Ovis aries: one gene and its partners. The protein of the gene in region 3 interacts with the protein of the main gene of each other region in a biochemical or structural test. Links are inferred from orthologs where the notes say so. Each region holds a gene or a part of one and is shown on either strand. Other genes may lie near its edges. The genes, in order: MAP3K14, MAP3K1 and IKBKB.

Region 1 (10,189 bases), on a different chromosome or scaffold from region 3:
CCGGGGTGGCACACAGGACCTACGGGGTCTCTCAGGAGGATTAAATCTACCAGAGGGTTTAGGATGATGTTGAGGTGAGTTAGAAGGGGATAACCAATCAGGAAGTGAGAAAAATTTGAGTCAAGCCTTAGCCCAAGGTTCCTGAATAAGCCTAGGAAGGTTCCAAGTTCAGGAAGGGTCTTGAGGATGCCCAGGATCTGCTCTTGGTGACGTCATTTTTGCCCCATGTTTGAGAATTCCCCACCCCCACCCCAGGCTCCATCCTTTGCGAAAATGGACACTTCTCTCCTCAGCCACATCGCCAGGGCTTCTCCTCTTGTCCCATAGCTCTATGGCTTGCAATCCCATAGCTCTATGGCTTGCCATGCCCTCTTCCATGTCCCCTTTGAAGCAGAATGGATAAGGGGCAATCAGAGTCCAGAATCCACATACAATGGTGTGCTGGGAAATGTTGAACACTCAGCTTGGGGGTAGGTAGCCCTGGTTTATATTGTCTGCCAATTACCATGGTGTAAATATTTACATCATGTCTGATTTCAAGCAACATGAATTCCTGACGGCAGCACAGGAAAAGAGTCCCAGCACAGCACTGTCTGCATCCATGCCCTGTCCAGTCTCCCTGGGCCCCTCTTATACGTCTGGACTGTGTGGCAGCAATGGGGCAGCTTCACGCCTGGGAGGACGACAGCACCATGGCTGCAGCCTCGGCCAGGCCCGATGGCAAAAGAAAACTGCGTCTCCTTCAGAAACATCCACTGCCACTCCCTAGTCCTCTCTGATCTCAGCCTCACATCCGAATTCTTCTCAAGCGTAACTTCAGGATCTCCCAAGAATGTGGGGCCTGAGATCCACAGACACACAGATGATTCACTGGCCAGTTTCTCACTAGATGTGGTTGGACACCATGAACTGTGCTGACTAAGGCAATAAAAACCAGAATATAATTCCCTTTGTTCCAAAGCAAACAGAAATGGAGAAATGATTCAAGAATGGCACTCTCTCCCTGATGCACAAAAATCACTCAGTCTTCATCACTCTTCTACAGAAATGATTGGGCAATTTACTTCTTAAAGCCCACGGTGTCTTTGTAGAGTCCCGCATGCAGGAGAGCAGAAGCTCTGGGTCGCATATGATTTGAAAGCCAGATCTTCTATTACTTGAGTGTTACTGTTCTCTGAGCCTCAGTTTGTTCATCTGTGAAGTGGGGGTGGTAATAACAATAACCTATTCTATGAAGTTAAGGGTTCTCAACTGGGGGTAATTTTGCTGTCTTTGGGACATTTGTCAATGCCTGAAGACATTTTTTGTTGTCACAACTGGGTGTAGGAGGGTGGTGTTACTGGCATCAAGTGGGCAGAGGCCAGAAGAGCTTTTTTCTTTTTTTAAACACGGGATATAATCTCCCTTTTTATTTTTTATCTATTTTTATTTTAACTGCACTGGGTCTTCATTGAGGTGCATGGGCTCTCTAGCTATGGCGCTAGGGCTCAGTAGTTGATGCAAGCATACCTCTATTTGTGTCATGCAGGCTTAGTTGCCCCGCAGCATGTGGGATCTTAGTTCCCTGGCCAGGGATCAAACCTGAGTCCACCTGGTGGATTCTTAACCACTGGCCCTCTGGGGAAGTTCCCAGAAAAGCTATTAAAAATCTTATAATATATATGATGCCCCCCCCAACAACAAAGAATTATCCAATCCAAAATGTCAGCAGTGCCAGATTGGGAAACCCTGGACAGAAGTGAATATTTAGCAAGGTGATTATGCATACAAAGCATTTAGAGGGACTTCCCTGGTGGCCCAGTGGCTAAACTGCTGCTGCTGCTAAGTCGCTTCAGTCATGTCCAACTCTGTGCGACCCCATAGACGGCAGCCCACCAGGCTCCCCCGTCCCTGGGATTCTCCAGGCAAGAACACTGGAGTGGGTTGCCATTTCCTTCTCCAATGTATGAAAGTGAAAAGTGAAAGTGAAGTCACTCAGTCGTGTCCGACTCCTAGCGGCCCCATGGACTGCAGCCTACCTGGCTCCTCCGTTCATGGGATTTTCCAGGCAAGAGTACTGGAGTGGGGTGCCATTGCCTTCTCCGGTGGCTAAGACTACACATTCCTAATGCAAGGGGCCCAGGGTTCAATCCCTGGTCAGAGGACTAGATTCCACACGCTGCAGCTAAAGATCTCTGGCTCAATAAAAACAAAAAAATTTTTTTTAGGTTTTTTAAAGCACTTATAAATAGCTGATTTATTTTCTGTAAGCTCTCATAAAACAGAAGCTGTTATTCGTCTTGGAAAAGCAGTCTTGCCCTTCCATTTCCAGACTTGAAACATGGAGGTGAGATGTGGAAATCCTTGACTGCTGAGAACCCAGCTCACTGCTCCAGGTGTGAGTCACCCCACAAATACCAGTTTATTTTATTTCGGGCAGAGCTGAGACTGCACAAGTGACTCGGGGCTAGAAACCTTCCCAGGTTGTCATGACTTAGCTGGCTGGGCTGGAAGGAAGTCATTTTACCCTGAAGCACTCCTTCCAAAAGATGCCAGCATTTCAAGGCCTGGAGTCTCTGTGGAGCTCAGAGTGGATGTTATGCTGCCTCTTACCTCAGCCCACACACAGTGGATCTTGGAAAGGCCTGAGGAAACTAGCTGAAAAAACCACGAGGCCCCGCTTGCCCCAAATCTCTCCCTCACTAGCCTGTAGAGGCTCGCTCCTCTCCTGCAACCTAATGTGAAATTCCTTCTTGGAAGTTGCAACTCTGGATCAAGACATTCACTCATTCCCACTAATACACATTAGTGTTAGTGGATAGATTTTGCTGTTGTTGTTCAGTCGTGTCCAGCTTTTTGCCACTGCTGAGTTTTCGAAAGCTTCTGGATAGATTTAAAGGTAGATCATCTTGATTGCAGGGGGTGGGGGGTGGGGGGTGTGTGCAGGGCTGGGGTGAGGGCATCCCACTGACCCAGAGAAGCGTCAAGGGAAGCTGGGTAAAGTACATGGGCACTGGGTGTCATAAAGAAGGAACAGTGCAAGAGGCAGAAGGCTAAGGCGGGTCAGGGAATGTGTGCAAACTCTGGCCCTGTGCCCATGTCTTTCCTGAGAAGCAATATGCCCAGAGGCAAACAGGTGGTGGAAGAGGCAAGCTCTGCATCCAGGCTTGCTGATAGCAACCATCTGGCCAAGCTCTGCCTCTCCCTGACTCACTTAAATGAAAACCCTGGGGTTGGAAGCAGCTTTAAGGGGCCCCCAGCTTCTTCTTTACCCATCATTTCCCACACCAGTCAGTAGCAGAGCCAGTTTATGCAACGGAGACTATCCAACTCCGAAGCATGGGCTCTATTGGGACCATAACCCCGAATGTCTCAGTAGCCAGGCAGATGACATAGGTTAAGTGGTTGAGAGCAAGACTGGGGGAGGGAGGTGGGGGTGTGCTGTGAGGAACTCCAGGCTCTGCTCTAAGGCATGCAAATTCAATTTTAAGAAAACATTGCACCAGCCAAACAAAACTAATCTATGGCCTGAGTGAGTGGATGAGGCCCTGAGGTTAAGTTTTCTGCCTGAATGAATGGTCTTTCCTATTCCCCTCAACCAAGATGTCTGCTAGAGGCAGATCTCCAGAAACATACATCAAGCTATGAACGACTGTCCAAAAAGTGGTCCTGCGACTTCTCTGACACCCCCATGCTTAAGACTCCGCATTTCCAATGCAGGGGGCATGGGTTTGACCCCTGGTCAAGTAACTAAGAGACCCCATGCTGCGTGGTACAGACTAAAAAACAAAACCTGAGCAGGTCTTTGCTCCAAGGCTTCCAGAGATGGGGTAATCCTTATTTCTCCAGACGGCCTTGAATGGGGCCTGCTTACCTCTACCACTAGAGCCGCTTACCTCACTTGCCTGCCCTAGACCACTGATGGGGGTGGAGTGCCCAGGTACCGGCGTATCTTTTATTTTGCAAACTACTTTTTAAGTGTGGAATTTTTTTCTTTATTATAAATAAAAAACAAGCTCACTGTGGAAACACTAGAAAATTTGGAAAAGCAAAAGTTAGAAAAGAAAAAATAGTCACACCTCCCTAAACCAACTCCCCAACCCCTTCGCTGCCCCATCCCCATTCAGAGAAGCACTGGTGACACCTTGGTGCATATTCGTACTCCAAGTCCTTTTTATACATAGGTAAAGCTCTAGTCTTCTTTCTGGCTCCATAAACCCAGCGAGGAGATGCTTCACGCAGCGCTCACACCAGGTTACTTCTCTGACTGTGGGACGGGATTGCACCACGCCAGCCGCACGCTCTCACCAGACAAGGGTTTCAACACACAGGTGTAACCTGTATAAGCCTTTAACTCCGCAAGCTTCTCGAAGGCAGGCACTATTTAAGCCTCAGAGACGCTACAGCGCCAGGTTCACAGTAAGTGCTTAATAAAATGTTTCTAAATACACAGCCCCGCCCCGCCCTGCCCCTCTCCCCCCAACTGCCAACACACCTGCCTCAGCCGCCAAGGCTTGGAGCAAAGAAGAAACACAACCAAAACCTGGGGAGACGGCGCTTCGCGGTCTCCTAGGTAACCAGGTCTTAGGCTGGGGAGTGCCCATGCATGCGCACACTGGCCCTTCCTTCCCGTAACCTCCAGAGGAACGCAACCAGTAAGACTGCCAGAAGCCGAGCGCGCATGTGTGGTTCCACCAACACCCCGACCGCCTCCGCCTTCTGTCAATCCGTCGGCCCAGCCATCTCTTTGCTATAAACACTGTCCGGAAATAGTGCCCATTTCTGGAAACAGGGCCTCGTTAACCAATCGTTGCTTGGGGCGGTAGGAAGGAACTGGCTGAGACGCGCCGTCTCATTGGAAGATTGGGGAGTGGGCGGGGCCAGAAGCTAGGCGCTGCCAAAGCAAGGAGGCGCGAAGCGAGGCAAATTTGCTGCCGCGGGTGGAGGCGTGGCCCCGGGGGCGGCCGGGAAGGCGGTGAAGGGGCGGGGTCCGGGGTGGGGCGGGGCGACCGTGGGCCCAGAGAGCAGCGGTCCGCGACAGGCGGCGGGAGATCGAGGGCGAGGCGAGCGCGACACTCGCTGGTGGGGGAGATCGGCGCTCGGCCGGTAGGTGACTAGAGCGAGTCCCGGGGCGAGGGGCAGAGAGGACGGGTCACTCCTCAACCCGGGGCCGGGCTGCGGCCTGGCCCGCCGCATCGGAATGGTGGGGTCGGCGGCGCGGCCCGGGGACCCACTCGCGCCGGTCCTCGGCTGTGGCAGCTGGCCGCCGGTGCGCCCTCCCTCACGCCGCCAGGGCCACGGTCGCACGCCGGCCTCACCCTGCACACCCGCAGGCCACACGCTCCCCCGAAGCGCGCGCAAGGGCCCCTTCCTTCCCTTTCCCGGACACCCCCGTTTCCCCGCGCCAGGCTGCTCCACCGCCCAGGCCTGCCCGTCCTGCTCGGTTCCCTGGATGTTCTCCAGAAGGAGGGCTTACCTCGGCACTGGGCTTAAGGTGCCGAACGCCCCAGCGCGCCGGGTCCCTGCGTCCTCCCACCTGTCCAGGCAGTGAAACCCTCAGGTCTTTCCTGGGAAGTTCTCGGGGTCACACCCCGAGCCTGGGAGAAGAGATGGAGCCTCCGATTAGCACCCAGCGGGGCAGTGCTGGCTGGTCGCAGCATCCTTTCTCTCCCTGACTCCTCGATAATTCTTTCCACTCCACTCAGGACTTCCTCTGTCGGCTCAGATAAAATATCCCATCTTGGAAGTCCATCATGGTCCTGGCAGCCTGCAGCCAGAGGCACCAGGCAGAAGGAGGCCCCGTGTAAAGAGCCCCATTTGCCCAGGAACCTCCTCTGTGCCGGGTAACTTCAGGAAAAGCAGTTTGTTTCCTAACTGAAGTTAGGATGTGGCTCTCAGTCCTAAAGGGTGGACTAGGGAATGAGTAGAGAAAAGAGACAGAAATCTGTGATATAAATTGTTTTAACTGGAGGACAATGAACCCTGTCCCTTGATGATGAACTCAAAAAGCAAGTGAAGTTATATGGTGAGAGGTGGGATCTGATACAAAATAGCCTTCTGAAGTTTATTCCAGGAATAAATGTTGAAAACCCCTTGACTAGAAACATAGTCTTTCTGAAAGATTAGAAAGAGATAGTATCTTAACATTAGTGATGTTTTTTTTTTTTACTTAGTGTCTTCATACCTGTAACCCTTTTCCTTCAGATTTGTGTGTGATAAGATAAATAATATTGTCCTGTTTTAGAGGTGAGGCACCTGAAGCAGGTGTGTGTTTGGCAGGGACTGGAGGCGGGTAAATGGCTCTTGCCCAATGCCTCACAGCTGAGACTCAGGGTGACGACTTTAATCTGGGCCACTGGAATCTTTCCCCAGCTCCTTTCCCTAAAGCAGAACCACGTTATGGAACTTGGATGCAGGACATGGGGAGAAATATTTGGTGTGGTATTTATGCTCTTAACATGAGAGAACAGGTGCTTGTCTCACTTACAAAGTGTTTGGATTTACTCTTGGTGTTTTTTAAGTGATGTCAAAGTCCGTTCCTTTGGTGCAGTGATGCCAGACCTCTGAGATTTTCAGATGCCTGGAGGACATCCTCTTTTATTTTGAAGGGTGTGGCAGTGAACTTCTCAGAAGGCCTCAAAATAAAAGTACTCATCTCTGACTTTAATTTTAGAAATCTATACCCAGGTATGTGTTCCAGCTCTTTTGTGAGACCAGACAGCAGTAAGCCACCAAGCTTCAGTCCCCTTCTGACTGTTTTCAGGTTATAAGGAGTAGTTCTGAAAGGGGGTTTTTCGCCCCTGGTGCTGTCTGTTAGAGTTTGTGGGAGCAAGCGGTACCACAGACAGAGACCCTGCCAAATGAACCCTCATCTATTAAACAAAAATGTCTGGTTGGCCATTTCGCCTCCACAGACGGAGGTTTGGTTCCTCATTTTGTTTCTCCTATTGAACACTGACTCCATTGTGATCTGCTTGGAGTGTTTGTGTATCACTGAATGTTGAGAAGCGGGCTTGCCCTGATTGGTTGTCCAACTCCAGGCAACTGTTGTGGTTTTTGTTTGGTGCGTGGTAACGGTTCTTCCTGGCCAGGGTCTGGTGTGAGATCTGCAGAGATGGGAGATGGGTAAAGACTGACCCAGGGCTGTTCTCCTCGTTGTTGGCACCCTCTTAAGGGTGTCCGATCACTTTGGCCTGCGACGTCACTTTAGCTTCCTATTTTTTTTCCTGTCTCAAGGGACAGCACATGAGCTTTCCTAACCGGCCTGCCTCCCTTGATGAAGAGCTGAGAGATTCATGTTGGTTGACCTAACAGATGGTCTTTCTGGGAGGGTAGTTAAGAAATCTTAAACCAAGTTCGGCCCTGAATTAAAAGTGTAAGTTAGCTTGATACACACATAGAGAGCCTCTTTCTATCAATGGCTTCCATCATCTGAGAACTGTTTTTTTTTTTTTTTTTCCTGGCAAAAGGTTAAAATGCAACTAAAATTCTGCTTTCATGATTAATAAGTCACTACCGCAGTTGTATCTGATGCTTCCTGTTTGCCCCATTTTAGTATTTCAGTTAAACTGGAAACATCTGAGCCTTATGGGCACTTTGGAAGACACCAGTGTGAAAGTGGTGGTGGAGGGGGGAACAGTTCCCTGTCAGTGGATTTGGGAAGCTTTAAGGATAAGCCTGCTCCCCCTAGCCTCCACACACTGAGATCCCTGGGCAGGGCAAGTAGTAGGAGTTGAGCACCTTCAAGGGGTAGGTGAGCTTTTAAATTGATGCACGTGTGAACGCTCTGCATTTGCTGGGTGGTGCTGACTGAAATGTTGAAAGCAGTCGATTAGAAATGGAAGGCCAAACATAGGGCAGATGGAGTAGTAGAGCATTTCAGTCGAGCTGAGCGAGGCACTGAACATCTGTTGGCTTTGGGGTCTTCAGTTCTAGCCTTGTCTTAACTACTTGAGGGACCGTGCAGAGAAGACTCACTTTTCCTCAGTGCCCTGTGTGCCCTTCACTGTATTCTAGTTTAAAGGCTCCCCTTCTCGTGGTGGCCAAGGCAGAGGTGGGGGTGGACATGTAGATTGGGAGTTTGGGACCATCAGTTACAGACTCTTACATACAGATTGGATAAACAACAAGGTCCTACTGTACAGCACAGGGGGCTATATTTAATATCCTATAATAAATGATAATGGGAAAAATACATATATGTATATATAAAACTGTATCACTTTGCTATATACTAAAAATTAACACAACATTGTAAATCAACTGTATTTCAGTAAAAAGATCCCCTTCTCTTCTTGCTATTTTGTATGTTTTAATCTCTTATCCTACTGGTATGAATCCCTTGAGATTATATGACATTGAGAATAATGATACCTCATGGCCATTCTCTGTGTTTTCTCACAGTATTCCAACAAAGGAAGGCAGGGACCAAGATCAGGAACATGAAGCCTAGTAAGGAGAGATCAAGTGGATGAGATTACTCAGGGAATCAGTGTCATGTCCAGAATCTAAACCCACATTTCTTGACATCTAGTTCAATGCTTTTTCTACTAACTTACGTATAAAAGGATAAGTTGGGAATTTTTTTGTTTCCAAAACATGTCCATTTTGAATATAACTAAACCAGGGTAGCTGCTTTATTTTTCTATTTACGTTCACAAGGATTATCAAGAAGTGTTATCAGAAGTGTTATCAAGTAATTAAGAGTCGATACTTGTTATCCATAATAATTATTACTAAAAGTCTGAAAGATAAAGAGCACATCCTCTGGTCAAGCCTGCTTATCCCTATTTTACAGATGCAGAAAGTAAAGCAAAGGGGTCAAGCAACTCGCCCAGAACAGGAGAGCCAGTCCACGGCATCTTTGTGCCCTGTGTGGGGGGTTAGGCTGCCGGGTCAGAGAGAGAGCCAGGTCGGGTCCAGGTCTGCCACCGTCTGCCTGTGTGACACCAGGCAAATCAGTTCACTTCTCTAAGCGTCCGGTGCCCCATCTGTAAACATTTCGTGGTGTTGTTTTGAGTAGAAAATGAGAGAATATATATAAAGTGCTGAGCTCAGCACGGAATAAGCCAGAAGACACAATGGCTGTAAATGTGGCTGGTGGTTGTAGTGGTAATCGCAGTACTGGTAGTTGGCAATTACCACTTTGACTAGACCTGTTTTCTGTAAGATGATGTCAGGAAGGGTCAGGCTGCCTGACAGGGCCTGTCATTTTCTCAGCAGAACCACGAGTGGGACATGTCTTCTGTCTGGAGGTTTTAGCTGTCATGTTCTCCCTGTCTTACACTAAATTCTGCCCTCATCACCCTCCAAAGGAACCTAACAAGGCTCCAGCTCTGCCTGCTCAGAGCTGGCAAGCCTAAACCTGGGGCACCCTCGGCCACCACCCAGAGGAAGGTACAGCTGTGCCTTTCTGGGGCCCTCCTGTGTCCCTCATGCAGTGAAGTGGGTGCCAGCCTTAACTGTGGAGGGGAAAAAAGGAAAATACTGTGTAGAATATAAGTCAACAAACACTTGTTCCTCTCTGGGAGAGTAAAAGGGAAGCCTGGGTCCTGTGGGGCAAGGTTCCCACCACCGTGTGGCACCCTGCCCTTTGTCATCTTTTCACTGGTCTGGGGGCCCTTGATCCACAGTCAGCAACTCTCAGATTTCCCTTTAAATCACCCAAGGGAAAAAAAAGCAAAAAAAACAGTTTCACATTACATTTTAAATTATTTTTCTCCCCCCTCTCTTAATAGAAAACAAAAATGCAAGCTCCCACCAGGCTGATGTCCCCTTTAAATAACATCTTGTTTTCTCTTGGGGAAGCTGTCTTCATGGCCAGAGAGTCATTTCTAAAGTGAACCTAGTTTTTAGAAAAAATAGATCACCGGATGTCAAGCCTCGTGTGGAGCTAACAGTTCAGATGAAAATGAAACCAGCAGGCCCGGAGTGGCAACTCCACACTTGACTTCAGACTGGAGGTGAGAGGCAGAGTGTGTCTGAGCCCAGGTCGGCAACTGGTTGGCCCCACAGACTGCATTTGATAGGTGCCTTAGTCATTTTCCAGGCAGCTTTGCTTAGGTGAGCAGAGCACTTTCTCTGGAAGGTGAGTCACACTTGCAGGGGTGTAGGTGACATGCGATTTATTCCCCAGCTCAGTCACAGGAAGTCTTGAGCAGACCTTGTGGAGAAGCTGTCTGCCAAAGCTCATGTTCATTTCAGTCCAGGG
Region 2 (10,350 bases), on a different chromosome or scaffold from region 3:
AGGGCTCATAGGTTAAAGAGCGGAGGAAAAGATAGCATGACCTGCTCCCAACTGGGGGAACAGATATCTGTGGTGGGAGCCCAGGTACAAGACAGGGTGAACTGTGCTCAGAACCCAGCAGTCAACAGTGGTAGGCTGAGGGTGTGATGAAGGCAGGTGGCAGGTCTATGCTGATCTCAATCCTTGACCTTGAGTGGTGCCCAGCACACAGGAGCAAATGCATTTAATATTTGATGAATGAAAGAAAGAATGAATTTGGACTTTATGTAACATGGAACCACTAAAGAGTTTGAGTAGAGGGGACAGAATCAGAACTGTAGTTAAGAAAGAAACTGACAAGGGTGCCTGAAATTTATTTGAAAGTTTAGCTGTTGGAAGTAGAAAGAGTAATATGCTAACTTATATGTTACTAATTTATATCTATTGTGATTTGTTATTTCCTGAACATACAAATGTATATATTTGTAATTATACACAATGAATGAAAAAAGAAATCTGGAATCTGCACTCTATATTCTGTAATATGGAACCACTAAAGAGTTGGAGGCCTAACCGGACATTTAATGGTCCATAAAACTCCTGAGTCTTAGGTATAACGGCTCTAGGGCTGTGCTGTCTGATAACACTGGTCACTGTCTACATGTGCCTTTTGAGCATCTGAAATGTGACTCAAATGACGTTCGATATGTTCTGAAGAGTAAAAAACACACTGGATTTCAAAGATGTAGTAAAAAAATAATGACAAAATCTCATTAGTAATATTTTATATATTGATTACATACTGAAAAAGTAGTATTTTGGATATACTGTATAAACTATATTACTGAAATCAATTTCACTTGCTTCTTTTTAGTTTTTCAAATGTGGCTACTAGGAAATTTAAAATTACATATGAGCCTTGCATTTGCAGCTTGCATTACATTTTATCAGATGGCACTGCTCTAGTGGATATCACTTTTGTATACCTCTTTAGCAGTTTTGACTCCAAAACAATGCAAATCAATTACAAAATGAAGGCACAAATGTTGCAAAAGATGAAGAAGTTGACTAAACCACTAGAAGTGATACTAAACTTCCTAGATCATGTGTAAGTCTTGTCAGCATAGGATTTAGCAGAGTTGGACCAGTGGACCACAAAAGAAGAGAAAACCAACAAGGACACTGATTCAGAGAAAGAAATTGAATATTACAGGGGGACCTTGGAGAAATGTATGAAGTCTTCAAATTTTTTTTTTTGCAAAAATGATAGTAATGACTAAGCCATAAAACCAACAGAAAAAGAATATCGCTTTATACACCAAAAAAGAGCAACTAACGGGGTTCAACAGAATTCAAAGAATCATTCAGAGTTGTAAAGGTAAGTAGAACTTGGCTGACTGTGAGATAAATCAGATTTCATTGGTTGCAGTTGTATTTTTAAATATAAAATCCCGATTCAGCTGGCTTTCATTATTCACTACAAAAATTTAGTTTCTGATTTTAAATACTTGCAAATATAAGCAAAGTATTTAGATGGCTAGTTAATAAAAAGGAATGTCACACGTATATATAGTATAAACTATTTCCCTTTAGCTGAAAACATAAGCAACAGGGTTTTGCCTTGTCTAGTCTGGGGTTTTAACCAGTATTTGGGTGGAGGGCCTTGGTCTTTTGAGTATGGGTCCACTATCCAGAGGCTGTCTCACATCTCTCATGGTCTACTGTTTTCACTCTTATTTTCTTTCAAGCAAAGTGAAAGCTGAGAGACATATACCAAGTTCTTACAGATTTGAATGCTTTTTTCTCTACTCTTTCACAATCCTCATATCCGCAACTGATTCGACAGACATTCTTTTCTGTGTCTCGATTTCACTCATTCTTTGAAAGCATTTAACTTAGTTTTCATCGGAATAACTTTTTGTTTTGCACTTGCATAGTCATGTTTAATAGGACTTAATTAAATTCCATAAGGACAGTTACAGCAGCTATAGTCAGATTTGGAAACAAATATGATGGATTCGCTGGGGTCTGTAACTCACCTGATGGGAGCAGAAGTGTGCAGCTGTCATGAGCGTTCATTACGCTGCAGCACCCCTCTGCCTGCTGCACACCACACCAGGAGTGACGGGTATCTGTTACTAGATGAGTCAGCAAGTGGAGGTTGGTGAAGAAGCTTTCTACTATAATGTCACCTACAGTGTACTTGCAAAAGGTCAACTGTCCCATAAATGACAAGATTTCCCAACTTAGGATATCTGGAAACAGTTGGAAGCATGGTGTCTGGAAAGAGCACAGAGAAACCAAGTTCTCGCCCCAACTCTCCTGCAAGTATTCCATATTAATATTTATAACTCGGATAGGATACCAGCTTTTACTCTATTCTCAAGGTTATCTTCTTACTCTTTATGTCTACCTAAGACATAGATCTCACAAACACAGGAGTGAAACCCCACACACGGATGGATCTGAAATTCTAGCAGAGTCAACTTGATAAATACCCACTAATAAAAATATTTGCAAATGGATTGTTTTGTTTACTTTTATAAATATGAAAAACAACAAACAATATCTCAAGAGAAGAAAATTTCTTGTGTGTGCATAATAGGTATTTAAGAAATAGAAGATGAATGCTACACAGACTGCAATATTTCTGCCAGTCCCTATTAAATCTGTTCATTCTAAATCAGTGATGTTTATGCATAAGAAGGAAATGTACTAGTATTAAACTGGATCCTCCAAATGACTGAGATTCAGGAACTGAAGTATGACTTAGGTGATTCCCAGAAGCACTATGTGGAAGCAGTGATCTGTAAAATATTGAGGTAAAGGTTACCAAAGCTGTCATAGCATAAATGAAATTACTGCAACATTTGTGTCTGAGAGAGAATAGAAATAAAGAGGTTGGAAATAGGAACTGGAATTTTCAGTGTACAAGCAAACTTGGAAGAGTCACAAGTCTCCTTTATGTCATTAAAGAAATCAAATTAAGGCAATTTGACATATGCCTTTATGCAGTAATATAAAGCAGGACCCAGCAGCACCAAACTAGAGACAGAATTTTAAGAAGCAAAAAATTATGGTAGCAATTCCACAGGTTAAATTTTCTTCAAAGAAGACTTTATATCAACATATGATGGAGGAAGAACACCCTTTTCAGTCAAGCACATCCTTTATCATTCTTCCTTAAAAAATAAGTTCGTCAGGGCAAGGTGCATAATGACAACTTGAATATATACATAAAAGATTAAAGGGGGAAATGACTCAAAGCACCAAAAACCAGGTGAAAGACCAGCACTTGAGGTCTTGATGGATGGAGGCGAGACGGGGGCTAGTTGAGAGCACTGTGCTCTTCTCACTTGGTCTCGTTTTCATCACTGTGCACAAATGACGAGGCTAAAGTAAATGTTTTACTGGATCCCGTTCTGTTTTGCTACTCTGGCCAAACTTCAAAATTGGAACAATTTTGAAAAGCTGAAGGCATCTGCTAACTTTTCTCATTTACAGTTAACTAAGTACATGTGTGCAACTTTAAAGGTTTTCTAACCTAAATAAGAAAGAAACAAGTTTATCCTTCCCAACGTAGGTTTTAGTGGGTGTAACAATCCGGGAAGACCTAGGAAATAACTACTGTTTGCTTTGGATGATACACTTGGCTACCATTAAAAGACTGTATAATCATAGCCTAACTGTAGACTTCAAATTTTAACAGATTTATCTAAAGTTTCAAAATTTGTACCGTTGGATGTAACTAAAACTAGCTTATGGCAGACTTCGTAGCAGTTAACACGGAGCTAATATGAAATCTGAATCCGCTTTAAAAATCGCTCGGATATCACCATCCTCCTCAGTTACCATTTATAGCCAAGAAAGAGGTTTTCATTTTATCTGTTTCCAAGAAATCAAAGGAATTATTTTGTAGACAGTTTAGACTTTTGTCTAAATGTATGAATACCGACAAGTTAGCGCTCTCCTTTCTCTTCCTGAGCAGCTCTCTCTCTCCACGACACTCCCCCACCCTACCCCCGCCTTAATTCCTGTTTCACAAAGTAAATCTAGGGACTCGGTTCCGGGCTTGAGGGAGATTTCTCAGCACTGACACACCGGCTGGAGGAAAAGAAGGGAGGGGAGAAGTAAACGCGACAGGGAAGCCAGAAGAAAGGTCTAAAATCATTAACATGTAAATGGTGCTTTTTCCATTCCAAAGCACCTTATCGCCAGACGCCCTCAGGGACTAGCAGGGTTCGTGACGCCGCGCTGGGTAGCTCGGGCTCCGCGGGGGTGGGGGCGGAGGGAACCCGACAGGCAGCCCGACCCTGCGGGGAAGAGGGACGTGCAGCCAGAGGCATAGGGCTCGGGGAGGGTCAGAACCTGGCGGAGGATGACAGCAGCCAGCACTTCCTGGTTCCTTCCCCAAACATGCTGTGGTCCTGCGTTATCTGCCTTTCCCAAAGACAGCGGAGGAAAAAAAATTTATAACGATTCACCTCGACCACCCACCCCACCCCCCCGACCCCGCTGCCCGGTCCTTTCGGTCTCCCTCTAGCTGGGGGCGGAACAGTGGGTGAAGAGGGTGTCCCAAACCTGTGATTTCAGGTTTTGAACACGATATTCCAGAAACTTCTGTTTTATTTGTAGCACGATCTGGGGGTGGGCAGAAGATGAGGAAAGCTTTTTTTATATATAAACTTGGGTTCTGGGTCCGCGGCATCACGTCAGCTGAACATTGGGTTTCTCTTGCTTTGCAGCAGGCGACCGTCCCGGGCGCCACCTGCGCGTCCCGCGCGGAGTGGAGGCGGGGGCGAGGGTAGGTAGGTCCGCGCCCGGGTTCCCCGACGCCCACTGCAACGGGCACGCGAATGACAGACTGCAGGCCCTCTGGCTTGCGCCCCCTTCAACGCACCGTCCATCAAAGCTCGAATTGCAATTCCCTTAGGGCGAGCGCCGGCCGAGCCGGGCCGAGATTGCGGCGGAGAGGAAGCGGAGCTCTGCCACCGAGGCTCCTCCTCTCGCCGGTGCAGCCCGGGACTACCTGGCGGCGCGGCGGGTGAGGCGCGCGAACCCCAGCGCGCCCCCGCAGCGGCCACCTCGGCTGCCCGCGTGCGGGGCTGAGCTAAGAGTCCGCTCCCCACCGAAACCTGCGGCCCGCCGTCCTCCCCCCACTGAACCCAGCGCGCCCGCCCGTCCGTCAGTCCCGGCCGGGCGCCCGAAGGGCCGCGCTCACGCAGTTGGCGTAGCCAGCCCTACGCTAGAGGCGCAGAGCCCGCCCCCCGCCCCCTGCACTCTCCCCGCCCCCTCCCTCCCTCGCAGGGGCCGAGCGAATGTAGCCCGCGAGAGAAAATGGCGGCGGCGGCGGGGAATCGCGCCTCGTCCTCGGGATTCCCGGGCGCCGGGGCGGCGAGCCCCGAAGCGGGCGGCGGCAGAGGGGCCCTCAAGGCGAGCAGCGCGCCCGCGGCAGCCGCGGGGCTGCTGCGGGAGGCGGGCAGTGGGGGCCGTGAGCGGGCGGACTGGAGGCGGCGGCAGCTGCGCAAAGTGCGGAGTGTGGAGCTGGACCAGCTGCCCGAGCAGCCGCTTTTCCTCGCCGCCTCGCCGCCGTCCTCCTCCACTTCCCCGTCGCCGGAGCCCCCGGACGCGGCGGCGGGCGGGAGCGGTTTCCATCCTGTGGCGGTGCCGCCGCCCCACGGAGCCGCGAGCCGCGGTGGCGCCCACCCTGCCGAGCCGGCGGCCGCACCGGACAGCGGCGCCCAGAGCCCCGCGGGGGCCGAGCCGGGGGAGAAGCGGACGCCCGCCGCCGAGCCGACTGCGGCGGCCCCGGCCGGGTAAGCAGCGCGGCCGGGGAGCGGCGGGGACTTGGGGGGCGGGCGGGCTATTGCAATGAATGAACCCCGGCATCGCGCAGGACGTCCCGGGGCTCCGCAAAGCAAGGCTGCGCGCGGCTATCCGGGACCCGAGCTCTCGGGCACCCTCTTTGACCCTTCCAGCTTCGGGCGGCGCCCCGGACCTGGCCTGGGGGACCGGACGGGGGCCCGGGGCGGGGACGTGCTGGAGAGTTTGTTATTGTTTGCAGACATGTGACAGGCGTGCGAGCCGCGCTGCTTGGACTAGTTGAGATAAGGTGTGGGGGGCCGGGCTGGCTTTGTGGGGCTCCTGGAATCGGGGCTCTCCGAGGAGCCCCGGAACGGGACCCTGGCGCTGCCCTCCGGGTCAGGCTGGAAGAGGCGAGCAGCAGTGCGGCGGCGGCGACCCCGGACCTGAGTCCCGGGGCGCGCGGGGGTGAGGCCTGAGCCTGCGGGCGGGCAGTGTAGGTGGGCGAAGCAGGTGGGCAGCCCTGCCCGAGACCGGGTTGGAGGGCCGGAGGGCGGCGGCGCAGAAAGCGGTGGGGTCCCCGGGGCGGTGACAGGCAGAGCTTCCAGGCAGGTACCGGAGGCCGGGCCGGAACGGAGGCGGCGCGCCCCGAGCGCGGCCGCAGGGGGTTCCGGGTGGACGGCTCCGTAACGCCTGTCAAAGCGGTGCAGGGTGACGGGCTGCAAGCTCTCGGGGGCTTGCGGGGTATTAGGACGGAGAGTTTTCTAATCGCGTCCCCCAAGGGACTCCTAGTGTCCTGGGGAATACAGACCGCAGCACGGAGACTTGAGTGACTTCTGTTTGGAGTTTGAATTTGGCCTTTGAAGTTTGCATTTGGCGGAGTGGTGTAAGAGCCAGGACCGGATGTGTCAGCCATTCAGTTGCAAAGCGGTAGTGCCTACTCCCCGCAGCCTCTCCGGAGTGGTTGGGGACCGCGGCGCGGGTGCGGTGCTTCCTGCTCCCTGCAGCTGCGCGGGCCGCCTCGGGATTCCAGGGGACCCAGTGCGGTGTGCTCCGGGGCCCTGGGCTGCCTGCGCGTTACGGTATGTGCAAGGTAACTCAGGCCAGCTGTTCCTGGCCTGGCTCTTTTTTGGCAACTAGAAATTTGTGTTTAAGGAAATTATTTTAAATGTGACAGCCATAGTCCTTGTTTTTGTTTGCTTTAAAATCTAACTAGTGTATGCAGAGCACAGGTTTGAGGGGTATTTTGAGTTGCTGGAAATGTTGTGATAGTCACCCGTTTCCCTGTAGGGCTTCCTGACCTTTATTCTGAATGTTTTAGAGACTGCCTTGTAGTGGTTTCCCTTGTGAAACGAATTTGACAGTAGGAATCATTGGCTTTCGTTAATTATCTGGTGATTTGGCACTTTTGGGGGCAACTTGATTCTATGTTTAAAACCGCAGTTTGTTGATTGCTACTTAGAAGTTGGCCCCTCTCTTTCCCCACCTCTCGGGGGAGGGGACCCTAAAAATGTGGTCAGCAGTGTGCCATGTTGAGAGGAACAGGGACTTGTGACTGTGCTGGTTTTCTGTGTGCACTTGTACATGTAGCTTAGTCTTACAAGGGTTATGTTTCTCTCTCTACACTACTGCTTCTTTGCAAATTGCATTAGAACTTGACTGGAATGATTCGTTGTAGGCGATTGTTACTACAAGTGAGGTCCAGTTAAAGATATTAAACCCTGAATTTGAGAGGTGAATTTTGTCTTATTCCCATGATACCAAGTTTTTGGATGCAGTAAATAATTTAGCAAGCCTCAGCATTCTAGGCATCTTAACGAGCTATGAATATAATAGAAGAGGAACCACTGTAAAATTAATGTATAGATGTTTAGTGTTGTCTCCACACAAAATAAGAGGACGAAAGTGAAAGCAGATAGAATTCAGGGAGTGAGTAATCCATGTTTAATTTTTGCATTTTATAACCTAGTTTTCCCCCTCCCCTTTTCTGAAAGGGTGGATTATAATTGCACAGTATATGAAATAATAGACTAATCGGCAAAATCATTTTTTAAAATGAATTTCGCTGGCCAGAATGCTGTTTGTTCATCCCAAATGTTATACATAAACATTTCATTTATAGTAAAATATTTATTTTCTCTACTTTTGAAATAGTGAGTTTTTTCCATATTTCCTTGTTCATGGGGTTGAAATTCATTTGAGACCGTTGGTATAAGCACTTTGACTGTAAGGAGGAAAATTGCAATTGAACTTTAGTTTTTGGATAATAGTTACATTCATACTTTAGAAGGATCATCTAACATCAAGATTTTGAAATATTTTTATGTTTCAGTAGTACTGTACATCTTTAAGACCTGTCATATTTTTTTAAAGAGAATTCCTAAAGTTTTTAAATTTCATAATTCCTCCAGTTTTTGAACTTTGGGTGTAGAAATTGAAATTGTGGAAAATACAATTTTGTAGTGTAAGTAATATAAATAATATTGATATTAAAAATAGAAGATTTTAAGTCCACCCCTCTTTTTCAGGTTGGTAACTGAAATCAGTGAAAGTTTCTTGCCTGTAAGTGGCGCCCAAGGGTTTGGGATTTTTCCTTCTAATACAGAATTAGGGGCTTTTTCTTCCTATTTACTGTCTTTGAAGAGAAATTACAGTGTTACTCTCCATTGAACAGGCTATTGTGAGTTTGGTAGATATAATTACTCCATCCTATTTTTGTAACTTAAAAAAAAAAAAAAACCTAACTATCAATTTGCTGGCCCCATGAAAGAACAAGATATGCTGTGCTTGTTAATGTTAGTTTTTCCTTAAAACTGAAGCTGTTTCATAGGCTGCTTTTATATCCTCATATAGCCCTCAGCTTTCACTTCCTTTTAGAAGCTTCTGGACTAAAAATATAATTCAGTGACTTTACTAAAGGAGGTGTAGGAAAATTATTGCCCCCAAATAAGTTTTTTTTTTAAAAATTGGTGGTTTTATAAAATGACAGAAGTAGTTACATAAGTTAGTCTTCCATGAATTTGTAAGTTTTGTAGTTAGGAATTGTCTCCAAGTTTTATTTTGAATCAGGTAAGAAAATGAATGCATTCTTCAAAGATTATTAAATATAATTCTGAAAGGGAAATATTAGAACTAGAATTGTTGCCAACTTTAGTTTTCTTTTCATATCTGATTCTGGCATGAGTGACTGGTTAACCAACATTCCTTAATACATTATTTCCAATATGCTATAATAACTCTATTTTGCTAGATTAAAAAAAAACAGGAAGTAGCTCTGTTCATTGATACTCTTTTTCACATCTCCTATACTACCTCAAGCATATGTTGCACATTTTAGAAATGGTTGCTGACTTACTGACTTGGAAGATTTCAAAATATGGAATGAAAGGAGCGTTCTTTGCTTTCAACAAGAGCAAAAGAACCAGCTACAGCTTGCCTAGGCTGTCTGCTGATCAGCCCTTGACAGTTGCTGGGAGCATTCCAGAAGAAATGCTGGAGTGGCTGGGGCAGTTAATAGGGAATGGATTCCCCTGAGGGAAAACATGGGGCATTCAGAAGTTCTCTGAGTAAGAAGGCACAACTTTTGCATTTTGTATCCAGATTTCTTGGGTTGAGGGTTATTTTTCTTTGAGGAAGGCAATAGGAGAATGTGGCATGGAGAAGCATTAGTCTCCAGAGGCTCCTTAAGAGCTGCAGTATTTTGCACTTCTAACCTTGAAATGCCTTGCTATATCAGATGTACCAGGTATATTCCTTAGACTTGGTTGTTTTCTTCAGTCCTGGCCTCTGTTTATAATCTAAGCTGAAAATTAGTTACTTTAAAATGTAAATGGGTAAAAAAGATTAATGTGAGGAAATATGCACTATTAAGAATCAACCCAAGTTGTTTTTAAGAAATAATTTAAGAACATTTTGAAACGCAAAAGAAATAATCAGAAACAGAATTGAAGTAAATGTTATTTAGAAATCCTCACTGCAAAGCTAACTGCTAGTTGGGTGTTCTTGCAAGAGAATAAGAGGATTTTTGCTGTGGTTAGTAAACATGTTCATCGATCAAGTAGAAGTACTTTTATATAGTCACTTTTCTTGCCTTCTGTGTGTCAGGCAAGTTATATATTAGCTCATTTCATCATGTCTGCAGCCTTCCAGAGTGTTGTAATTTTCTGTTTTCAAGAGGTAGAAACTCATGTGTGATGCTAAAGCCCCATGATCACACGACTGGAAAATAGGCTAGGCTTCCAGTCCATGACGATCTCACTGCACAGTCCATTTCTTTCCATCCCTCTCTGCTGTCTCCACTTTCTTTTACAAATTAATGGCCAGATTAATGATTTGAAGGAGGAAGTTGTCCTTCAAGAGTCAATGTGAGAATGATAGGTTTCTACCCAGTGCCATTGCCAATACGTTTGTCTCCTGATGTGTCCATAAAGCATGATGTTTGTAACCTGGCCTCATACATGTAATACAGGTAAACTGTGCTTAGATCACCTCATCATGTTAGGCAGGGAGAACAAATGATTTGTACTTAGATCGTTTCATTGTGTTAGTCAAGGAGAACGGTTGGTGAGT
Region 3 (9,702 bases):
CAGTCCCGACGGCCGGTGCGTGGTCTCCCAATTCTGACCTTCCTCCAGCAGGTGCTTGCCAGGCAAGGGAGGACAGGCGCCTGGCGTTTTTACGTTGTTTCTTTTGCCTGAACCTACTGCATCTAAGGCGTTCTCCTGCCTATTCGGCAGTCCTTAGGAGCTTAGGGTCTTAGCACTGGGAATTCAGAAATACACCCTCTGCGCCAGCAGAGGTGCTCAAGACTCTTGAAGGACAGCGGACTCGCATAGTCCTCAGATGTCTCTCCCTCCCTGCTTTTTCTTCTAGTTAATACACAAAATTATTGACCTGGGATATGCCAAGGAGCTGGACCAGGGCAGCCTCTGCACGTCCTTCGTGGGGACCCTGCAGTACCTGGTAAGAGGCGGGGTTCCTGGGTCTGCGCGTCAGCCTCTCTCGGGAGGCCATGGCCGCAGGGCTCTGCTTCTTTCCTCACCTTCTGCTGGCTGAGCTTGCCGGCTCTCTGGATGATTCCTGGATGCACAGGAAACACACTGGTGTGTGAGGTCAGACTCCTCATCCTCCCAGAGGCCCTGTGGAAGGGCGCGGTCATCCTCTTGTGTCTAAAGGGCTCTGCTCCTGGGCCCGTGCATGTCCTGTGACCTGCTATGCTGCCGTGTTTCAGCCCAGAGAGTGTAAACCAGGTTCCTGCTACTCCAAAGGGGCCTCCGTTCCCACACTGCATCTCAGGGGCTACGAGGAGAGGGCTGGCTTCCAGCTCCCACCCTTTCTTCTTCTTATTTGGTCTAAATATTGTGGCTCTATTTGAGTCCCCAATTCATCCAAGAAATACTGATCACCTGTAGTTTTTCCTTTTTATGTTTTATTTTTTTTGAGGGGCGGGGGTGCCACACTGCACATGCATATATTTAAGGGTTTTTAAAAAATTATTTATCCATTTTAATTGGAGGATAATTGCTGTACAGTAGTGTGATGGTTTTTGCCGCACATCAGTATGAATCAGCCACAGGCATACACGTGTCCCCCGCATCCTGAGTCCCCCGCCCACCTGCCTGCCTCCCCACCCCATCCTTCCAGGTTGTCCCAGGGCGCTGGCTCTGGGTGCCCTGCTTCATACATCAAACTCGCACTTAAATATATTTCTTTCTTATACTAAGAAAGCCACTTCGCTTGGAACCCAGTGCTTCCCAAACCTATCTTTCCTGGAAGCTCTTCCTCTCTTCCTGCAGACATGCTGCGAGTGTTGTTTTAGAGTTTAGGAGGAAGGCGGACATGGCCCTGATACACAGATAGTGAAGCGATTGGAGGGATGATAAGGACTGCTAAGGGAGAGAGAGCATGGGGCGTGGCGACATGCTAGGAGGGCCTGGTGCTGCCTGCACGTCCAGGGACTTGGGGGCGAAGAGGGAGTTCCAGGCGGTGGGGCAGCAGGAGGCACCCGGGAGGCATGGCCGGAACCAGAGAAGGAGGAGGCCATCTCGGGTTGAGGCTGGAGAGGAAGGTGGGGGACAGGTCATTCAGAGCCTCTCTGGTTGCGTTAGAGACTCCAGACTTGATCCTGAAACCTCTGGAGGGACTGTGAAGGGTCTTAGGCGTGAGAGGAACCAGGTTTACCTTTGGAAGAGACCACACTTGGCACAATGTGGAGGGTGAGTTGCAGGCAGTGGGCGAGTGGTATAGCGGCCGTTGGGGTGGGCTAGTCTGAGCTGGTGGGCAGCCATCAGGATGTGGAGGACGGCTCAAGAAGTGCCTGAGAGAGGGGCCTCTACAGGGAGCTTAGGACTCCGCACTTTTACCACCAAGGGCCAGAGTTTGATACCTGGTCAGGGAACTAAGATCCCACAAGCCACGCAGTGTGGCAAAAAAACCACAAGCAAACAAATAACAACAACAAAAAACACAAGGCCTGGAACAGGCTCAGCAGGACTTAGTGATAGATTGCATGCAAATGATGACCAGGAAATGTAGGCTGAATAACGGAGTCTGCAGTTCATAAAAGAAAAAGGAAAGAAAGTTGAAAGCCACTGGGCTCCATGGGCTTAAACAGGCTACCTGGGTCTTACATAAAAAAGAGAAAAAGCAGTCACTGAGGTCCTTGTGAGCGCGTCCACACTTCCCATTAACCCCCGCTGGGCAGTGGACGTGGTCCTTTTATCCCCTGCTCTGGGGGGGTAGAGGTTTCAGGGTGGGGACCTGGGGCTGTGACTCAGCACCTTTGCCCACGGAGTAGGTCCTGGGGGTCCTGCCCTGTGTCCTCTGGACCCCTTGTTGGCTCAGTGGCAATGAATGCAGGGCCCAAGCTCTGATGATTTGCGGGGCCAGAACTTCTGTCCAGAACCAGACACAGAGGCCGACCTGATCGTCCCACACGTTTCATCTTGGCTTGTGGTCCTTCGTGTCCTGCCTGCGCACCTCCGCTCCTCAGGGTCCTTTCTGGCACGTCTGCTCTCGGGCATCCCGAGCCGGCCACACCCCACCTGTGCTGGGAAGCTTCCTGTCACCCCAGGTTGACTGCTTGGGGAGCTGGCCTTTCCTGCTCGACTGTGACATTCTGTCCCATCAGGGACCGTGGACCTCGTTAGGGGGCTGGCCGGCATTCGTTGCATACACTATGCCTGGGTGTGTGTGGCCTGGATCACTTCCCCTGTGGTCCTGCACGGTGCCTGGGAGAAGGGTGCACAGCACACCTCAGCCCCCCCTCGCCCCTGCCGCAGGCCCTTGTTTCAGCCCCGGGATGGGATGAGATCAGAGAGTCTAGGTTCCACTGCCTGATTCGTGGCCACCTCCTCCCTCAGCGTGGGGTCCGGGGAGCGTGTGCAGGCCCGGATGCCAGGTGCCCTCAACATGGTGGCCCTCAGCGCAGGGTCCGGGGAGCGTGGGGCAGGCCCGGGCGCCCCCGCCATGGTGGCCTCTCAGTGCGGGGTCCGGGGAGTATGGGGCAGGCCCGGGCGCCCCCGCCGTGACAGCCCCTCTACGGCTCAGCTCGAGCGTGCCCCCCACCTCACAGGCCCCCGAGCTGCTGGAGCAGCAGAAGTACACGGTGACGGTGGACTACTGGAGCTTCGGCACCTTGGCCTTCGAGTGCATCACTGGCTTCCGGCCATTCCTGCCCAACTGGCAGCCAGTGCAGTGGTGAGTGAGCCGTGGGCCCGCCCCCCGGGAGGGTGTCCCCCGCCTTTGCCAGACAGCACCTCACCTTCCCGGTCTCGTGGGGTGCCCCAGGCCAGGCCTGAGACCCCTGTGACCTGTCACCCCGAGGAAGTCCTGTGGGGACCCGGCGTGAGCACAGCCTGAGCTCCAAGAGCCCTGGATTCTGAACCTTAACAGCCTTAAATCCAGTCCGTGTAAATGACTGCTCTGCGCAGGGCAGGAAGCCAGTGTGTTTACAGAGTGTGTGTGTGTGTGTGTGTGTGTGTGTGTGGTGGTAAACAAAAGGAATGTTCACATGACAAATAATGAGACGTATGTATGTGAAAGTTTATTGCTGACAAATCTTACTGCGCCTCAGTATAGTTTTTTTTTTTTTTTTTATATATGGTGGTATACCCGCTTCAGGGCTGTTCTCTCATATCATCCCACCCTCGCCTTCTCCCACGTAGTCCAATGGTCTGTTCTTGATATCTGTGTTTCTTTCGCTGCTTTGCAAATAGAATCATTGTTACCATCGTTGTAAATTCCATATATATGTGTTAATATACTGTATTGATAAAAGAATGAAACCAGAACACTTTCCAATACCATACACAAAAATAAACTCAAAGTGGATTAAAGTTCTAAACATAAGACCAGAAACTATGAAATTTGGTTTTAAAAGCATCAGACAGTGAACCAAGTACACTGCCGAAAAGATACTTTCTAATAAGGAATATGATCAAGGTTTTAAAAACTACTCTGTATTTTTAAACTTTTCTTCTAATTGTAATACTAATATGTGGTTCATTATATACATAAAAGTTAATCATTACTGAAACGCATCATTTAAAAGTTAGTGTTCCCTTGAACCAATTAGGGTTCATTCACAGTGATTCCTTGAGGGACCACACGCTAACTGAAGCAATAGTGCCATTGTCCAGAATTCTTTACCTCCAGTCTTAGTGTTTGGAGCAGCTCTAAGTTCACGGGATTCATCCTTTAGAAAGCAGAAGAGGGAAAGGTCATCCCTCGCCACCTGCTTGGTTCCCCCCGACCCACAGACGCCTGGCACTGTTGGCTTTGGGTCCACCTCGGGGATGTTTTGTACACCCACAAGTGAGCGGGCATGTATCTGCCCGCTGGCTCTTTGGTGGATTTCACCCCTTCTCAGCTCGGTGATGACGTCGCAGGCACGCCGCCCTGTGAGTGCTCCTCCAGGGTTTTACACTGAGAATTTCCTCCCGCCGCCGCTAACATTCCTCCGTCTCCAGACTCTTCTTCTGTGTGTCTGTGTTTGTTCAAAAAACAAAGTGGGTTACCATATGTACTCTCATAGAACCTGCCTTTCACACTTAACTAAAACAGCTCCGGGAAATCCCGGTCCATCCACAGTTATTTCCCTGGGATAAGTTCCTAGAAATGGGATCAACCTACCAGATCGTGCACATGTTCAAGGGTTTTGGTTTGTACTAACAACGTGCTCCACAGAAAGGTTGTATAAATAGCATCTCCAGCAGGAACATGCAAAGGTCCTCTCCCCCTGCCCCCTTTGTGGGGCAGCTCTGGCTGATGTCACGTTTCTCAGTATCTTCCTGGAAGTACCAAAAACACAGGCTCTCTCAAAGGACACAGGTACTGACATCATGAGAATGTTTATTTGTGAGACCAAGACGTAGTCTTTGAAATCCGTTCAAGAAGAGTAGCTTTCTGTGACGCAGTCCAGTTCGGTCACTGTTTACACACCAGACACAGGAAAGGATGAACCAGGCTCGGTCTCCGTGCCCGAGGGGCCTGGTGACGTGGCGGAGGGCGCCCTCCCGTGGAGACTTACGGTAGCACAAGCAGCGCCCTGAGCTGGGCTCCGCCGCGCTGACTTAGCTCCTTGCGTTAACAATCAGACCGCTTCAAACTGTACACGCGTCGTGTTTTTAACTTGCCAAGGGATGACTGCAGTTCTGTTCAAATGTTGAGCGTTTCCATTATTTATAGCAAGGTGAATCAGAATCCATCAGAACTAGAGGAAATGCCATTTGAAACCATCCCTGATGGCCCTGCTGTCTGCAGAGCCAGCCTCCCTCACGTTGCTGGGAGGCCAGGTGACCACTTCCAAGCACGCATCTCTGAAACCCGAGAGTCTGTGAGACGTGCCTGTCTGGTCTGCCTGTAATGCCTTAGGCAACGTCAACAATTTCACTCTCGTCTCAAACGGCAGATAGATAGTAATTTCAGAACAAATGCAATTTGAGCTTTATTATCCTATCATAAAGCTGCTTTGAAGGACCAGTCTTGAAAATACATTTTAGGACCAGCCTAAGCAGTAAGCGTTTCACTCACTGTGTCCTTTCATTTATCCGTGTAATTTCCCGTGGACAGACCTGAGTTTCTGTAGAGCACCATCCCACCGCGTGTGATGACAGTGTGGCTTCCGGCTGGCAGGTTCGAGCCACACCCTGGCTCTTCAGGCTCCGTGTGCTCCACGTGGGTCAGTTTACCCCCCCTGCCAATGAGGCTTCAGGCTAAAGCATTTTCCATCTGAATCTCTAACGTCTTTCTGGAAAGGAAGGATGCGGACATTCAGACAGAGTAGCAGGAGCGGCTGGGCCTGGCTCCAAGCCCCTGGTTCCGTCTTTCTCTAGTGGTGTGACTTCGGGCAGGCCATTTCCTCACCTGGTGAGGGTGGGGGATGGGGGGCTGAAAACTGCCTACCCCACAGAGGTCTCGGGTAGAGAAGGGTGCATTCACTGTCAGCGCTTGATTCTCTGCGAAGCGTTGTTCAGACTCCTGTCATCACCCTTGTCGCTGAGAATATGTGAGGCCAGTTTAAAATCTTTTTTCCTTAAACACTATTTCAGATACGTCTAAAGGGTCTCCTAGTTGGAAAACGTTAGCACTTCACTTGCCTTCAGAAGTCAGGCATAGCCATTGCATTTAGAGGGAAGTGCGTGGTGTGTGCAGGTGGTACATGAAGGGACCGTGGTGCAGACGTCCTGTCTTCATTCTCTGTGTTAGATGGAAAGTAAAAGAACAAGCCGGATGGGCCGGGGTGAGGTCAGGAGACAGCGGTACAAGCCCGCGGGTTCCTGACTCTCACCGGGCAGTACCGACGCCCTTAACCTCCCAAAGAAGCTTCCCAGCGGGTTGCTGGGCCTCACAAGTGGTTCAGTAGACCCCTGGGGGATCCTGTCTGGTTGTCAAGTGGAAAGTCACCCGTGTAAGGGGCTGTTGGACGCCCGCTGACATCAGGGTCACTACACACAGCGCGACAGTCCCCCCACGTCCACAGGCACTCCAAAGTCCGGCAGAAGAGCGAGATGGACATCGTGGTGAGCGAGGACCTGAACGGGGCCGTGAAGTTCTCCAGCTCGCTGCCTCACCCCAACAACCTCAACAGGTACGTCCCCGGCCTCTCCTCCTCCACCTCTGCGGCCGGCCCTTCCTTTCTAAAGATGGGGGTCGGGGCTGACGTCCGCGGCAGCTCTGACCCTGGTCCTGCCGTCGTCCATCTCGGTCTTAGCACACCGTCCCCACCCCACCCGTCTGGAGTCACCTCCTCGGTTCCCAGCACACTTGTCGCCCTCCTCACCCGTGGTGGCTCTGCCTTGCAGGCGTTTGGTCTGGCAGAGGGCTTAGCTCCTGGTCAGCCGTAAACCTCTGAAGAGTAGGGAATTGCCCCTTATGCTCTTTGCCTGTCCTTCTTTAGCCTGGCACTGTGTTTTTGCCAACAAATAAACCTTTGCATTTTGAACAGCATAGCAGTCTGGTCTCAGAGCCAGAATATGAGCCATCAGGTCATCTTAACAGAACTGGGAGATGGTTCAGGAGACAGCAGCTAGCAGCCCAACGCCAAGGCGCACGGCTCAGTTTCCATGAGTCTTTGGAGGACGGGGATGGGGTCCCCTGTGGAGGAGCTGAGCTGGAACTTCCTGGAAGGATCTGGACTGATAGGCAGGGCAGGTTGATGAAGAGGAAGGCTCTTCAAGGGGAAAAGACTTGGGGGCGGCCAGGGAGAGGCAGCGGGTAGCGATGTTGGCCTCTGGAGGACTTCTGTTGGAGGGCAGGGATGGGTGCTGGGGGCGCCCGGCAGTGCGGTGTGGACCCCTCAGACACTTCCCAGGAAGTGACTGACAACGTGGATCGAACTGGTGGTGTGGGGCGAGATCGTCGGGCAGTGCTCCTGCTGGGGAAGGGGGCTGCTCAGTGCCTGGAAAGCTGCCTGGAGGGTCTCGCATGGCCCTCTGCCCAGAGGCCCCCGCCGGGAGGGTGTTTGTGCAGATCCGGGGAGTCGGGGGGCAGGGGTCGAGCCCCCGAGCAATTCATCTTGTTAAGGGAAGGCTCACCCTTCCTCAGGGTGGTTAAGCCTCAGGGATCACTTTGGCCCCGAACCGCGATGGTCACGTGGGGCGGGAGAAGCGTGCGAGTTTTTCAGTACCCACGTGCACCGGGAAGCTGGTGCTGGGCCTCACGCAAATGCACGCACACACGTGGGATGGGAAGCTGGTGCTGGGCCTTGCACGTACACACGTACATACACACGTCTGGCGGGAATCTGGTGCTGGGCCTCGTGCACGTGCGTGGGTGCGCACACACGTGGGATGGGAAGCTGGTGCTGGGCCTCGCACACGCACATGCACGCACACACGTCGGGCAGGAAGCTGGCGCTGGGGCTCGCGCACACACACACGTGGGATGGGAAGCTGGCGCTGGGCCTCGCGCACGCACACACGTGGGATGGGAAGCTGGCGCTGGGCCTCGCGCACGCACACACGTGGGATGGGAAGCTGGCGCTGGGCCTCGCGCACATGCGCCCACACGTGCACACACTCTCCCCCTCCCCCTCAGCGTCCTGGCCCAGCGGCTGGAGAAGTGGCTGCAGCTAATGCTGATGTGGCACCCGCGCCAGAGGGGCACCGACCCCGTCTACGGGCCCAATGGCTGCTTCAAGGCCCTGGACGACATCTTGAACTTGAAGGTGAGCCTGCACCCAGTCCGCCCCAGGCCATGGGCCCCCTGACCCCTGTGAGGGTGTGATGGGACCCTTGCTGACTGATGGGTTGTGAGGTTGTCTCCAGGGACGCATGGGAGGGGAAAGACTCCGGGGGGCGGACCCCGGGCGGGGCCTCCGAGAAGCCGGGCCAGCAGGCAGGCGTCCCCGTCGAGCCGTGCCTCCCGTGACCCCCCGGGTTTTTGCAGCTGCTTCATGTCCTGAACATGGTCACGGGCACCCTGCACACCTACCCCGTGACCGAGGACGAGAGCCTGCAGAGCCTGAAGGCCCGCATCCGCCAGGACACAGGCATCCTCGAGGAGGACCAGGAGCTGCTGCAGGAGGCGGGGCTGGCCCTGATCCCCGACAAGCCCGCCGCCCAGTGCCTCTCCGATGGCAAGGTGAGCCCGGCCTCCTGCGGGCGCCAGGCGGCCGCCCATTACAAGGTAGGAACGCAAGATCCCGCGGACTTGGTAGGGGACACGAATCGCCCCGCACTGTACCTTCCAGACCACTGGGAGTGCCTTTTGCTTTTGCTGCCAAAGCGATGCTTCATTCTTCCACATCAACGGAAACTGTTTTTGACCCCGTCATGTGCGGTACCGTGCTGACCATTGCACAAAATTAGCCGCAAATTTAACACAGGGGAAGAGGCATTGGACCATAAAGGAGATGGCAGGCATCTGAGTGACACGGTAAAGACAGGATAGAGCAGAATGTACTGTGCTGTAGATGAGGTGTGCGTCAGGTCATAAGTGTAAAGGGAACAGCCAAGGGCAGTAGAGGCCAGAGCGCTGGGAGAGGCCTGGTGGGCACCTGGCACGTCCTGGCCGAGCATGCTCTGTAGTCTCCTGTTTCTTGGGGGACGGTGGGGTGGGGGCCGCAAGACCTCATTTTGCCTCTGGTCCCTTTGCAGCTGAACGAGGGCCGAACGCTGGACATGGACCTCGTTTTCCTCTTTGACAACAGCAGGGTCACCTATGAAAGCCAGGTCTCCCCACAGCCCCAGCCTGAAAGTGTCAGCTGCATCCGTAAGCACGGCCTATTCTTTTTAAAAAATGATCCCTTATAGCTCTTGGGACAAAGCTCGGGGGAGAGCCCTGGCCCAAGAGAGGGGTCCCCCCAAGCAGGCGAGTCCACCCGGTCCTCAGACAGCCGTCTTCAGTCGTACATGTGAGAAGCAGCCCCACCAGAGGCAGGACAGGGCATCTTCAGTTAATTTCAGCCTCATCTAAACGGGACAGAGAAGATGGCCCACAGGCTGTTGACCTTGAATCGCAAAACCATTTTATTTGTGAAATTGTCTTTGTACGTTAGTAATTAATATATGCACAAGATACCAAAAGGTACAATAGAACAATACAGTGAAGAGTAAGCTCCTCCGTGTCCCCAGTTTCCCAGGGAAAACTGCCACCAGACTCCTGAGTCTTCCTTCCAAGGTGTTCTGTGCATCTGTAAATGTGGACGTGTGTGTACCCCGGGGCGCAAAAGTGAGCAACAGGAGGCAGGCTCAACACCCAAGGCGGTTGTATAATAGCTGAGCCGTTACATAACCGACCAGTGTGGCTGAGCCAGCGGGCTCCAGGGGTGGGATGCTGTCGTCTAC

Evidence for each region.
Region 1: of the proteins of IKBKB (region 3) and MAP3K14, one has a biochemical effect on the other in vitro, tested with the Homo sapiens proteins (3 studies listed by BioGRID and IntAct, with this or other methods). The link is inferred for Ovis aries from reciprocal best matches to the Homo sapiens genes IKBKB and MAP3K14.
Region 2: of the proteins of IKBKB (region 3) and MAP3K1, one has a biochemical effect on the other in vitro, tested with the Homo sapiens proteins (3 studies listed by BioGRID and IntAct). The link is inferred for Ovis aries from reciprocal best matches to the Homo sapiens genes IKBKB and MAP3K1.

Annotation. Positions count from the first base shown.
Region 1 is NC_056064.1:44,686,267-44,696,455, reverse strand, and holds the start of MAP3K14 (mitogen-activated protein kinase kinase kinase 14), read left to right. Parts: upstream 1-4,998; 5' UTR 4,999-5,085; intron 5,086-10,189.
Region 2 is NC_056069.1:22,593,372-22,603,721, reverse strand, and holds the start of MAP3K1 (mitogen-activated protein kinase kinase kinase 1), read left to right. Parts: upstream 1-5,291; 5' UTR 5,292-5,316; coding exon 5,317-5,795; intron 5,796-6,060; exon of another isoform or gene 6,061-6,249; intron 6,250-6,467; exon of another isoform or gene 6,468-6,684; coding exon of another isoform or gene 6,685-6,863; intron 6,864-10,350. UniProt on the Homo sapiens protein: Component of a protein kinase signal transduction cascade. Activates the ERK and JNK kinase pathways by phosphorylation of MAP2K1 and MAP2K4. May phosphorylate the MAPK8/JNK1 kinase.
Region 3 is NC_056079.1:36,486,046-36,495,747, forward strand, and holds part of IKBKB (inhibitor of nuclear factor kappa-B kinase subunit beta), read left to right. Parts: intron 1-286; coding exon 287-376; intron 377-2,987; coding exon 2,988-3,112; intron 3,113-6,395; coding exon 6,396-6,503; intron 6,504-7,951; coding exon 7,952-8,081; intron 8,082-8,302; coding exon 8,303-8,542; intron 8,543-9,012; coding exon 9,013-9,127; intron 9,128-9,702.